3 linked regions of the Daphnia pulex genome follow. The main gene of each other region encodes a partner of the protein of the gene in region 2 in a complex. Links are inferred from orthologs where the notes say so. Each region holds a gene or a part of one and is shown on either strand. Other genes may lie near its edges. The genes, in order: nuclear cap-binding protein subunit 1-like, negative elongation factor E-like and nuclear cap-binding protein subunit 2-like.

Region 1 (5,024 bases), on a different chromosome or scaffold from region 2:
CACCAGGAAATTCTAAAAAAAAGACGAGAAAAACATGTTAGTAACAAAAGGAGAGGGCGATCTTTCGATAATTTTAGTGAAAAAACTAAAAGAACCAGATTACGTCCAATTACAAGTGAGAATACTGCATGTATTTCAAGTGTTCAATCAACAACAACGGAAAAAACTGCTGTCCAACGAAAAAGAGAATGCGGTGTTTATCAGCAACTTAACGTAAGTTTTACTTGAATAACCCATTTTTACTTGCACTATTTATAACGTGAAGTGTTCTTCTTTCAACAGGACAATCATTCGAAGAAAAGGCGAATTCATTCAGCCAAACGCTCAACAAGATCCATGAGGATTAGTGGAATAAAGGACAGGGTATTCTGTTTTATATTGTTTAAGCTTCAATTGGAATCGTAACATTTTTTTCTTTAACAGGGCAGGTGGCTGACTGAAGACAGTAATGCCCAAGTCATTATGTTTATAAAAATACCAAACTCAAGTGAACCAACCTTTCACACCTTTGTGTCAGGGGCCGAAGCAGCTGCCCTCCTTGCCACAGAGCAAGGGCAATCATTTAGAAGAAAATTCAAGGGGGATTTTGAAGAAACTGAAAAAGGGTTCTGTGACAGCCAGGGAAATGGTGAAAGATTAAGCACAAACAATTCTTTACCAGGTATGGCTCATGTGGTTGTTAGCAGACTTCCATTCATCGTTAATTTTATTATTCACTCTTCATTGTTCATCATTTCTTTTTGTATTCAAGTTGTAGTCATTGCAGCGGAATCTTTATCCACCAGTTCAGTGAATAACAGTAGTGTCCCATCAACAACAAATCCTGCTGTGGAGAAAAGTGTGAATGCGGGCCGTAAACGGGCCGAGAGCACACGTACAAGAGACTCAAGTACGAACAATTCTTTACCAGGTATGGCTCATGTGGTTGTTAGCATACTTCCATTCACCATTAATTTTATTATTCACTCTTCGTTTTAATCATTTCTTTTTGTATTGTAGTCAATGCAGCGGAATCTGTAGGCCTATCCACTAGTTCAACGGATGACAGTTATTGTGTGTCAAGCAATCCTGCAGGCTTAATCAATGCCGCTCATCAAGCTGATGTTCGTTCCATTCCATCCACAGTTTGCACTACGAGCCAAGTTGTGAATTGTAGCCAAGGTATACGGACGATTCGGCAAATTTGACGTTTGCCGAATTGGTTTTTGCCGAATTGGTTGACTTTGTTATTTTCCCGAATCGTACATACCAATTCGGTAAAAAGCCAATTCGGCAAAATTGTTTAAAATGCCGTTGTAAGGCCAGTGGCGCTAGCTGTGTGGGTTTCGGGTAATCAGCGCCACCACCAACACGCGAATTATACTGTCTTTCCCGAGAGATCTTTGAGCCCTTCCCGACATAAACACAAAACAAAGTGGAACCTGCTTTAACTGCCCATTCTTTTTTAGAAAACCATGGAGGGAAAATAGTTGAGTGAAAGGGAAGTTTATTATTTTAAAGGTTCCGTCGGCATACCATCGAACGGCAGTTTTCAAAAGCGCTAGTTGTTCGTCAGTCATGAAAATTAAATGACGTTTAGAACCAACTACAACTTCTCCTTTAAAAAACGAAGTGGGCATTAAGTCCATTTTGATTTGAAAAAAAAGATCAATTGGGTTTTTAGCAGTGCGCTTTGCTTTTACCCGATTTACAGCCCTAGCTAACGTTGTGGGGTTAATTGGGTTCCACAGTATTTGCCGCCAATTTACATTTGCACAGTTGCCGAATCGACTTTTGCCGAATCGGTAATTTCATAGGTGACAATTCGGCAACTTTGCCGAAACGGTTTTCGGCGATTTGCCGAAATGGTTTTTGCCGAATCGTCCGACATTCGTAGCCAATTTCACCTAAATTGAATTCAACAAATCCCATTTTTGCGTGAATTTAATTCAATTCAGCTGAATATAAACTGAATTGAATTTTTGCGCCAAATTGCGTTGCCTAAAATAAACAATTTTTACAGCTACGTTGTCAAGTTATGTAAACTATTTTCACGATCATCGAAGTTTATGATTTCATCAATAGATGGCGTCAAATTAACAGCTTCTTTAATAGCTCCATATGACAAACAGTCAAACAGGGTGGTAGTAGTTTGTCTGTCTTGTAAGCGTCGTAGACCAATTTAAAATAAAATCAAAGAATGAGTCGTAGGAAACGTGATGATGGATATGGTAAGGATTACAACTTATTGAAGAATTTGATGACATTATAAAAAGTTATTTGTTTAAAATTACAGAACATGGGTATCGTAAAAGGCGCAGAGTTGTCTCGGAGCAGGCAGAAATTGAAGACCGGTTAGAATCTCTTATTATCAGGGTTGGAGACAAAACGTCATCATCTTTAGAAAGCAATTTAGAAGGGCTTGCTTCAGTATTAGAAGCTGATTTGAACACGTACAAGAGTAAAATATTACGTATTTTGTCGGAATGCCCAATCCAAATGCCAGAGAAATGTACTATCTACAGCACATTAGTTGGTCTTCTGAATGCTAAAAACTATAATTTTGGAGGAGAGGTTTGTTTTAAAATTGTACTTTCAGTTTTTAAGATACAAGTATATCTTTTTTTAGTTTGTGGAACAAATAGTGAGAAACCTAAAAGAAGCTCTCCGTGAGGGGCAATGGGAATCTGCTCGTTTAATTGTACGTTTCATATCTGACATGGTCAACTGTCACATAGTCTCTGCCTCTTCCTTGCTACAGTTATATGACAGTTTTATTGACGCTGCCATGGAACAAGGAGTTCCTCAGGTTCGACGAGACTGGTAATTAAATTTTTGTTTTATTCTAAAGCAAGAGTAATGTAGATCACAACACTGTATCAATTTACAGGTACATGTATGCGTTGTTGACGGCGCTTCCTTGGGTTGGTCGAGAGCTTTTTGAAAAGAAAGAAAATGATCTTGAACGTATAATGGCAGCAATGGAAGGTTATCTTCGCAGAAGAAATACTGCTCATGTCGCTGCTCTTCGAGTTTGGAATTGTGAAACTCCGCACCCACAGGTCAGAAATGGCATGGCATTTTAATAATAATTGAAAAATTTCGAAAAACGTTCTTTCTAGGAAGAATACCTGGAATGTCTTTGGGCTCAAGTACGGAAATTGCGGACAGACGAGTGGCAGGAAAGACACATTTACCGTCCATATTTAGCTTTTGATTCTATCCTCTCTGAAGCTTTGCAACACAATCTCCCGGTCATTCTACCTCCGCCTCACACAGCTAGTACGCAATATCCGCTACCATGGGTTGTTTTCAGGATGTTTGATTACACTGACTGTCCAGAAGTAAGTTAAACGCTTTCAAAAGTGTGTATCGTGCGTATTTAACTCGGGACTCATTTTCAGGCTGGTCCACTTTTACCAGGAACTCATTCAGTAGAGCGTTACTTGATTGAGGAACATTTACACCAGATCATCACTCGTCATCATAACGAACGCAAGGAACTGTGAGTTTCAACTTGACAGAAACGTTTGTGCAGATAATAGTAAATTAATTTTGCTTTTCAGAGCCACCCAATTGTTGGCGTTCCCACAGAGAAATAAGATCCCTTTGGAATACATGATAGTTGAAGTTCTCTTCTCAGAACTTTTCCAAATGCCTTCCCCTCGTTACTTGGAGATTGCTTATGGTTGTACTTTGATAGAACTTTGCAAGCTTCAACCAAGTACAATGCCTCAGGTGAAAATATGATCTTACAGTAGAAACTTGAACATTTTCATTTGACTTTTTATTTCACAACCAGGTGTTAGCACAGGCTACGGAGTTGCTTTACGAAAGAATTGATACCATGAATGCCACCTGCTTTGATAGATTCGTTTCTTGGTTTTCTTACCATCTCAGTAACTTTCAATTCCGCTGGAGTTGGGATGACTGGCAGAATTGTCTTTCACTCGAAAAAGACCACCCCAAGGTAAATGTTTAAAAAAATGAAATTTTTCGAAATCTATCTAAAGGAACACTTAAATTTCAGGCAAAATTTGTTTCTGAAGTGTTCGGGAAATGTTTGAGACTCTCCTATCACAAGCGCGTGACTGAAATGGTGCCTGAATGTTACTCACCGCTGTTGCCCCCGAAACCAGAACCGTACTTTAAATACCAAATTGAAGGAGGAAATGGTTTTCCTGGGGCTGCTCAAGTCCAGACTTTGACTGAGCTCCTAAGAAAAAAGCCAACGCCTGAAGAAGTACTAGAGTTGGTCCAGCAACTACCGAATCCTCTCAAAGGTAAATATGGTGGATACAATATGTATAACTTCAAGCCATTTTGATGCAATTGTAATTAGATGACGACGGGGATATGGAGCCTTCACACAATCCTCTAGCAATTGAAGTATTTGTTCAGACTCTGCTACATTTGGGATCGAAGAGTTTTACGCATACTTTTGCAGGTCTCGCTAAATATCATTCAGTCTTCAAGGTATTTTCAACAGATTGAAATGTTATCGATAGTATAAAACGATTCAATTTTACGTTTCTGTCATAGAATATTTGTGAGAATGAAGAGGCACAGATCTGTATGCTTCGTCAAGTTTATGAGCTCTGGCAACACCACCCACAATTTTTAGGAGTGGTAGTTGATAAGATGTTAAAGACACAAATTGTTGAGTGTTGTGCCGTAGCAAATTGGATCTTTTCACGAGACATGGCACCCGAGTTCACTCGTTCGTACATTTGGGAGGTCTTGCACTTGACTATTCGCAAAATGAACAAACACGTCGTCCGTCTAGAGAAAGAGGTGGCGGATGCACGCGCTAAACTCAGAGCTGCACCATCTGATTCGGAATCATCTGATGAAGATCCATCTAGAGGTGCGAACAACTTTGGATTAATGTTAATCATTCGCTTAATTTTTTTTCCGTTTTAACTAAAGAGGGTGGCGAAAAGCGTCGACGCACCTCTAGCAATAAAGAAGCTACAAAGGACGATGGGGAACAACCTACGGAAGAGATGGTCGAGCGTATGGAAGAACGCTTGGAGGCTGCCCAA
Region 2 (4,145 bases):
GAAATGGTAAAGAGATTGTCGTGTTTGAACACACACACACACACACACACAAACACACCAAGTTTAGACAAGTCGAAGAAAGAGCAGCTCAATCGAGTCAAGGCCGTCCATGGCGCCACCACCGCACACAAAACGCCAACAAAGCACACCCAATTCTCTCTCGGCCAACGAGAAAAAAATGGAGAATTTTCGTTGGGCTTTTTCGTCGTGTTAAACCAAGAAAATGGCAGCAGTTGTGTAAGCCTTACCCTCCATTCCATGGTAGCATGTGGATATTATTATTATGTGGCCAAGTAAAACGGTCGATGGCAAAACTATCGGCGAAAGAGGGAGCCACAAACACTTGCACTGCACGACGACACGGCCAGATGAAGACTGAGTGTATACCGGTTCACCAGGGCCCTATCTCTGCTGCAGGCGGAATGGCGGATGGGGAGGGTCCTAGAAATTCAGAGTCGGCGCGCGCCTACAATTCTACTACACTCGACATCTTCCAAAATAAAAACTTTTTTTTTTTCACAGAATGACCGAACTACACGCCAGTCGACTGATTTTTCAGACGCCAGCAGCAGCCCATTTCTTATTAATATGACAGGGCAGAAATTGTGTTCTTCTGATCAACAACTATGACCTCATCACACACACACACTGGCACTGTGGCACATCATTTTTTGGTCGTCTTTCTCAGTTGAATTGTTTTCCCACCATGACCGAAAATAATAGGGGAAAAAAGAACCTGTACAGGGGTTGGTGGGGAAAAAGCATTTTCCCCTTTTTACTTCTTTTCAAAAGAGGCTGGGGGTCCCCATTGTTGTGTCCAACCCAAACCAGAAGAGGGAGAAAGAACCTTACTATAATACTACTACTACTACACCGCCCACTCGATGGTTCTCCTGGGCAAGTGTCTCTACTATATTTTTACTACTATTTTGCCCTTTTTTGTGTGTCTGTGTCTACTTCCAGGGGGGAAAATGCGAGTCGAAATGGAACAAAAGAATCGTCGTCTCTCCCTAACTCGAAAGGAGAGAACCTTGAAAGTTTCTCGAATAACTCGAGGGTTGAAAAAACTCTCTAGCTAGCCGGCACTTTGGAAAATAAAAGACAGATTGCGCAACTATTGACAGTTTTACTCACCTAGCCTGTAGTGTATCGTGTTGTACTATCATGAGGCCGGCAAACGGACGGGCTCTACTACACACCTGCACAATCCATAAAAAGAATCAAGTAGGAGACAAAGGTGTGAAAAAATGTTTGTAACCTTGACACATCACCACTGTAAATTATACCTAGGCTCGTATCGACGAATGATGAGAACAGCAGCAACTGCAGATGGATCGATTTTTCATTCAAGCTACACACACACACACACACAGTCTCGTTACACCAGTTTCTCGTACTCGAATCTGTCTATTCTCTCCCCCTTGGTATACTCACGTCTGACGGCTACGGCGGCCAAGGATCGTGAATGGCTGGAATTTCCGTTTACGAGGCTCAGACACGTGACCTAAACACTTGTGATTGGATTGGTCCTTTTGAGGGAAAAAAAAATGTTCTGTTACCAGGTCCCTTGCTATTGTTATTTACGTAAGAATTCCACAGGCGACATCTAACGTCGAAATCTACAACTCGTCCTTGGGCGGCGTAAACAACAACGAAATTTAACGTTAAATTTGCAAAACGAACGAACAAAATCAAAGTCAACGCTTAATAAAATGGTTTATCTTCATTTCCCCTCCAATTTGACAGAAGAGGAATTAATGCTGCAAACTAAATATCAAAAACTTAAAAAGAAGGTGGGTTGCATGCAAATAGTATATACCTTTTACTATTTTACTAATGAAGTATACTGGAAATAGAAAAAAGCTTTGCAAGCACTGAAAGCACCCAAACCAGAACCAGAAAAAACACCTGCACTCAAAAGACCTGCAGAAGCAAGAGACGCCAGAGAAGTGGCTAAAAAGCTCTTGAAGTCCGGAGCCATTTCAGCCATTCCAAAACCTAGCGAGAAAACAGAAACTACTGGATTCAAAAGATCAAGAGGCTTAGAAAGAAAACTTTCCTCTTCTGATCGAGCACCAAGTGGATTCCAACCGTTTTCTTCAAGTCAAGGAAGTATGGTTTCTAATGAAGAACATGTCACACATGAAGCTAGAACCAAAAGCAAGGTAACAACAACACTATCCAATCCAAATAACTGTGTTCAAGCATTCTCCTTTCTGCTTAGGTTCCCAATCTCTATGAAAATTTCATTTCTTCAAGAGAATCAGATGCTGAACCAGCTTCAATTAGTCCAACAAACCCCAAAGAAACACCTACCTCTCCTGCCATTTCTCCAGTGAAGCACCAGAAACCTACAGTGGGGCACACAGTTTATGTAATCATTTCTTGGCTGTAGATTTTTGATGAAATGTGTTGATTAATCACATTGTTTGCCATTTTTAGGTGTTTGGCTACAGCATTACAGAAGAAATCCTCAAAAAAGCTTTCCAGTCTTTTGGAAATGTTGTAAACATTTCAATGGAAATTGAGAAAAAGTAATATCTTCTATTAAAGCAAACAGTAGCAAAATATTAAATACCTTTTTGTTCTCAGTTGCGGGTTCGTTACGTTCGACAAAACAACTTCAGCAGACAGAGCCATCAGTGAAGTATGTATAGAGAATTCCCTTAAAAAATCTACTCCTCACTTTTGCCTATTTTACTAAAATAGACAAACAAAATCCTGTGGGTTTTAAATGCTTTAGTAGTTGACCAAATCGTAATGGGAATTTTTATACCAAGTTTCTTGCCCAATATACCTAGTGGGAACTTTTGGCTCGTAGTAAATTTATTTCGAAATTTAAAAAAGGCGTTCCAGGTTGTTAAGCGCACCAGATTCTATCGTCACTAAAATTTCCCCTATGACGAATGTAATAATGATATACACTGCCATTGTTTTTCTTTTGTGACTGAATACTAGATGAATGGTAGCATGGTATCCGGTATTCAACTAAAAGTGTCACTCGCAAGGCGTCAACCTGTCATCGAACCTATAAACGATGCAACATCATCCGCTACGTGGTCCACAATAGGTTAGCCTTATTTTATTGAGCTTTCTAGTTTTGATGAAATGTCATTTATTTTTGTTTTCTCCATTTCAGCGGCTCGCAATTCTCAGAAAGGATCCTATAAAGATAAGCGCGATTTAGTGACATATGAAGAGGAATTGTTTTAAAAAGTAAATCATCACAGTACAGGCGGTTCTATGTAATTGTAATTTTCTCGTGGTGGATGTACAGTGATATTTCATTTTACATAAATTTCCCATCAGAAATACATGGAAAAAAACAAAAACAAGTTTTATTTTTAGACGGGCACCAAACGAGAGAATATTTAGCTTCCCGGATCAAATCTCTTTTTTTTAATTCCCCCCAACATTTATATACGATAAATTGCCTCTTTCCATCCCCTTCGCCCCCATTCCAGAAAAGTAATTTTACCTTGAAACGATCATAACGACGTAATAATAACATTAGACTCTTCGGGGCATTGCAAACGGAATTCTGTTTGTTGTTGAGTAATCACATAGACAGCGGAATGCGGTGTGCGAAGGTGAACGATTTTCCCGACGTTCAAAGTGCATAAAGTATTGATTTTGAAAGAATATTATGGAAAGAGGGGACAAGAATCTAGCTCCATTTGTCAAGCGATACGTATGGAAGGGGAAAAATATATCTCAAAATCGACAGACGCAGACCTATTAGCTTATAACAGATAAATGCTTTGCGTAAATGTCTGCAATCATGTCTCAATATGCGTTCTGATTAGAGACGTTCATGAATATCGTGCAACAGAAAAAAAATCAACGGAAAAAACAAAATAAAGTCGCAAATTGCAGGCCCTGCCTTTCAGCAACTAAAATAGACGATCGTTAAAAACTTAACAGAAAGGTGGGAAATGTAAAGACGGGGAATGTCCTGTCATATCACTGGAAAAAATGTTAAAAAAACAAAAAAACAATGATGATGATAAGAAAACAAAATTAGGTAACACACACGGCTCACTCAAACTGGTTGCTTGCGACTAGCACGGTTTCAGAGACGACATTTGACAACGCAGGCACGCACGCACTCGCATACACACACACAGACACACACACACACATAA
Region 3 (3,818 bases), on a different chromosome or scaffold from region 2:
TCTTATTTTTAACTGATGCATTTAAAACAATTAAATTTTGCCTGTTACCTACAAACTTTTTCAGCAGAGACCTTCTTGTTAATACATATGTATTCTTTAGGATTGTAATGACCACAACAATCTTGAGGATCAATAGGATTGGTAGATTACGATAACAAAATTAGAGAACACCGTTCACGCTTCGATGGTTCACGAGAGAGTAAACAAACAAAAACGTAAAGATTATCAAAAGGACGTCGGTGTGTGTATTGCGCCTCCATATCATGAGCCTCTTTGTTTGCTTTTTAAATTCTCTTTCTATTGCCAGCAATCGAATGCCAATAACTTCACCTGTCTTCGACAATGTCTTCCTTGAAAATCACCGACAACAAAGTACGGCAATACTCGGCTTCCTCCTATCAAATGAAAATTCAAAGTTTAAAATTCGATTTCATTTTCAAGTATTGACTAATAATTATTACCAGACATTCGTCGCGATCTCCGATTAATTCGATGCGGTTGTCGAGAAATTCACGAAAGAGAAACTCTGATCTACGGCACTCCTCGATCGATGGGGGGTGGCTCTGGGTAAGTGCCAGCAAGGCGGCCAGTAGATGTTCGTGAGTCGAGTCGTGATCTCGTTGAAGCAGAGCCACAAACTGCTCCACAAATCCCATATTACATAAAGTATCTAGTAAACAGGGTATTGGTTAGAGTACAAATGGAGAAACTTATGAATGTGAATAAAACCTTTGAAGGATGGATTCTCATTGCATAAACAAGTCAACAAGAATGAAGCCTTGATTTTCAGTTTCCCGAGTGATGATTGCAGTGCTCTCAGTAAAGACGAGAAACCATCACAATGCACAAATGCATCCTGGGCTTCTGCACATTCTCTTGTCAAACCTATAATCAATCAATTGTTAACTGAATTCCCTTAGTGTGAGTTGTAAATCTGCTCATTACATGAAATGGCGTACAGGGCTTTGATTCTCGCCTCTTCACAGTCATCGTTTTCCAGCATTTTAAGCAAAATTGGCAATAGGTCTTCGTTGAGCACATGCTGTTGGCAGTATGGGTTGTTCTGGGTGAGGGTGCCAATCAACTGACAGCACCTCCAACGAACTCCATCGTGGGGAGAATTCAAACAGGGGATGAGGATGAAAAATCCTCCTATCTTGTGAAAGTCTGGAGAAACAAGCGAAACAAGTGTCAATGTTTTATTCAATCAATAAAAAAAGATATCTCATACCATTAGCCGTGTCCATGGAATCGGCAAAGTCAGTAATCATTTCCAATGCTTCCTCCATCTCCTGGGGATCTTCTTCAGGACTTTCGACTCGATCTGGATTGAGGATATTTAACGATTTTGATATTTCGGCTACAACGTCGACTGACAATCCTCTTAGAGCTTCTTCTAACCAGCGTCTCCTTTCTTCACTCATCGATGTGGTTGTGGTACGATCTTCAGCTGCGGTGCCTTCGATGGCAAATCTTAAAAGTCCTTGCATATCTCTTGGTTGTCGTGGGGGTTCCATTGTTTTGCTAAGGATCTCAACAACAACTTGTTATATATTTATGAAGAATAAGACGCAGTACGCAAGTTAAACCGTGAACGCATGGGGCAAGCAGACGTCAATGAAACTGTTTACTAGCAAAATCAAGAAGAGTCTGGAATAAAAAGAGCCATCTAGGCATGACTCGCATAACTTAAAAAATTTTGACATTTACAAAACAAACCTGTTAAGTTAATTAAGATTTGGATAAAATTCATTGAGATTTTAAAAAATTATTGAAAAAATCTGCGAAAGTGTGTCATATTTTTATTTGGTTTTTAATTGTAGTTTAACGCCGGAATGGGTTTCTAGCAAGTGACGTAACCTAGCGGCCGCCATAAGCATCTTTTCGAAAGTCACTCGCGTCAGGTTTGTTGTGTCAACGCACACTTTTTTTTAGAAAAAAACCACACCAATTTTAGTAATTTAAAACGCATAAAGTTTAGCCGGTTGATTGGCTGAATACAAGGACACTTAATTCGGAAGACACTGGGGTGAACGGTGTGATTGGTTCTCCCGAAATAATTCGTAGAAATGGCGGTTCCAAGCACATACCGAGACCAACATTTCAAAGTAAGCCTCATGAGTTGATAGCAGAATTGAAAATGTAACTTAATATACAGTTTTGAGGCAATTAATGTTTAAATGGAAATGCATACCTTAATAATTAAAAATATTTTGATATTTCAAGCCAAAATAACTGATTTCCATCTTTCAGGGTTCCCGGGTAGAGCAGGAGCGTCTGTTGAGTCAATCTTGCACCCTGTATGTTGGAAACTTGTCCTTTTACACAACTGAAGAACAGGTTAAATACTTCCAAGTCAACAATTGGTTCCATTTGATTTCATCTTTTCAAATATTTTAGATCCATGAATTGTTTGGGAAATGTGGCGATGTCAAGAGAATCATCATGGGATTGGACAAGTTTACTAGGACCCCTTGTGGATTTTGTTTTGTAGAGTAAGTCATTGCAACCAAATCCAATAACAAAATTGTGTTTAATTATTTCTAATTATCTTTCAAGGTTTTACCTGAGGAATGATTCAGAAAATGCCATCAGGTTTGTGAATGGGACAAGACTGGATGACAGAATTGTGAGAACTGACTGGGATGCTGGCTTCATTGAAGGAAGGCAATATGGCAGAGGCAAAACTGGAGGACAGGTCAGCATTTCGTCAGCTCAAACTTATTGTTCTCAACTAATGGATTTCTGTTTTGCAGGTGAGAGATGAATACCGAACTGACTTTGATGGTGGCAGAGGAGGATGGGGCAAAATGATTCAGCAGAAGGTGGCCACATCTGCTGCTGCTAACAATTGATAACATTTCTAAATACTGTATTCATTCATCTCTGTGTGTTTTTTTTTTTAACAAATGTCAACAAGTGTTATCCTCAATTAAAACAGACCATGCTGAATTGATTTCCTAAACAAAATCTTTTTTACCTGTGAAAGAAGACGTTTCTCGTCATGTTTCCATCTGCCAGTCCGGTTGGCCTGGATTTTATCGATCGAAAAGTGGGGACACTAGAATCTCTTGCCATGTGATCTGTCACTCCCAAAGCTTTTTCCTTTTCAAAGCGAAGCGGGTAGTTTCCCAGAAGAGCTTTTGCGGCCGCGTGATGCACGCCATCATCTACATGCAAAGAAATATTTGAATATTCAATTCCCAGTGGTCGTCTGCAACTTATAACGAATGTCACAATTGAATTTGTGTCAAATGTGAAGCTAATTCAATGATCATTGATCAATTAGATGATTTCCAAAATGGAAATGGTATCGATTTCTGATTGCTCGGTAGTTGTTTAGTTATTCCAAATTAAAACTAACTTATTTATCGTTCGAAGAAAGAATGTGCTTGACGTGACATTCAACGTGCATCTGAACTACCAGGAAAATTGTACTGAGTGAGTGTGTGTGTATCTGGTGTTGGCTGTTTGAATATTTCTGGGCGACGGCAATCGAGTTCTCTCCCACTGCTGCAGCCGCTGGAAGCATTCATGTCCGCGTGCCGATCCGCGTGCTCCGCCGTGAGGCTATAGCGGGACTGGTGCATGTTGGCTGGCTGCTGTACCCACCGCCCAGCACTACAGATGTTGCTTATTCAAATATTGACGTAAAACTCACGTGGAGCGACATGAACATTGCCCAGCACCTGTTGTATAATCTTCATCTTCCTCCTGGTGGCCATGCCAACAAAACGGGGCTGTTTCCCCCCCTGCGAATATCCGTTTATACATCATTTAATTCCCTCTGTTTGAAACTAGTGTAGGAGCAGGTATTG

What was found.
Region 1: the proteins of negative elongation factor E-like (region 2) and nuclear cap-binding protein subunit 1-like are in contact, whole or in part, in a crystal structure (PDB 5OOB), measured with the Homo sapiens proteins. The link is inferred for Daphnia pulex from reciprocal best matches to the Homo sapiens genes NELFE and NCBP1. Residues at the interface, in NP_002895.3 of Homo sapiens: Arg362, Ile365, Val366, Tyr367, Ser368, Asp370, Val371, Tyr372, Gly379, Phe380; in NP_002477.1 of Homo sapiens: Tyr461, Lys511, Lys557, Ser558, Ser560, His561, Ser564, Lys568, Ile609, Arg610, Gln612, Cys616, Lys647, Met648, His651, Glu705.
Region 3: the proteins of negative elongation factor E-like (region 2) and nuclear cap-binding protein subunit 2-like are in contact, whole or in part, in a crystal structure (PDB 5OOB), measured with the Homo sapiens proteins. The link is inferred for Daphnia pulex from reciprocal best matches to the Homo sapiens genes NELFE and NCBP2. Residues at the interface, in NP_002895.3 of Homo sapiens: Lys361, Arg362, Gln364, Ile365, Val366, Tyr367, Asp369, Tyr372; in NP_031388.2 of Homo sapiens: Phe49, Tyr50, Thr51, Thr52, Glu53, Gln55, Lys68, Ile69, Ile70, Met71, Leu73, Lys77, Lys78, Thr79, Ala80, Asp107, Glu121, Gln124.

What each region holds. Positions count from the first base shown.
Region 1 is NC_060022.1:6,378,146-6,383,169, reverse strand, and holds the start of nuclear cap-binding protein subunit 1-like, read left to right. Parts: upstream 1-2,055; 5' UTR 2,056-2,179; coding exon 2,180-2,210; intron 2,211-2,275; coding exon 2,276-2,553; intron 2,554-2,608; coding exon 2,609-2,802; intron 2,803-2,869; coding exon 2,870-3,041; intron 3,042-3,101; coding exon 3,102-3,323; intron 3,324-3,383; coding exon 3,384-3,484; intron 3,485-3,545; coding exon 3,546-3,717; intron 3,718-3,781; coding exon 3,782-3,949; intron 3,950-4,009; coding exon 4,010-4,262; intron 4,263-4,321; coding exon 4,322-4,455; intron 4,456-4,521; coding exon 4,522-4,846; intron 4,847-4,908; coding exon 4,909-5,024. Other genes in the region: uncharacterized protein LOC124196162, read left to right, coding at 337-363, 424-661, 752-910, 1,000-1,187. UniProt on the Homo sapiens protein: Component of the cap-binding complex (CBC), which binds cotranscriptionally to the 5'-cap of pre-mRNAs and is involved in various processes such as pre-mRNA splicing, translation regulation, nonsense-mediated mRNA decay, RNA-mediated gene silencing (RNAi) by microRNAs (miRNAs) and mRNA export.
Region 2 is NC_060021.1:9,952,863-9,957,007, reverse strand, and holds negative elongation factor E-like, read left to right. Parts: upstream 1-1,621; 5' UTR 1,622-1,712; coding exon 1,713-1,793; intron 1,794-1,856; coding exon 1,857-2,165; intron 2,166-2,224; coding exon 2,225-2,374; intron 2,375-2,442; coding exon 2,443-2,534; intron 2,535-2,592; coding exon 2,593-2,647; intron 2,648-2,958; coding exon 2,959-3,070; intron 3,071-3,139; coding exon 3,140-3,213; 3' UTR 3,214-3,266; downstream 3,267-4,145. UniProt on the Homo sapiens protein: Essential component of the NELF complex, a complex that negatively regulates the elongation of transcription by RNA polymerase II.
Region 3 is NC_060026.1:16,276,033-16,279,850, forward strand, and holds nuclear cap-binding protein subunit 2-like, read left to right. Parts: upstream 1-1,873; 5' UTR 1,874-2,069; coding exon 2,070-2,108; intron 2,109-2,253; coding exon 2,254-2,340; intron 2,341-2,400; coding exon 2,401-2,495; intron 2,496-2,559; coding exon 2,560-2,698; intron 2,699-2,756; coding exon 2,757-2,855; 3' UTR 2,856-2,952; downstream 2,953-3,818. Other genes in the region: hsp70-binding protein 1-like, read right to left, coding at 327-395, 462-670, 730-885, 946-1,167, 1,232-1,517. UniProt on the Homo sapiens protein: Component of the cap-binding complex (CBC), which binds co-transcriptionally to the 5' cap of pre-mRNAs and is involved in various processes such as pre-mRNA splicing, translation regulation, nonsense-mediated mRNA decay, RNA-mediated gene silencing (RNAi) by microRNAs (miRNAs) and mRNA export.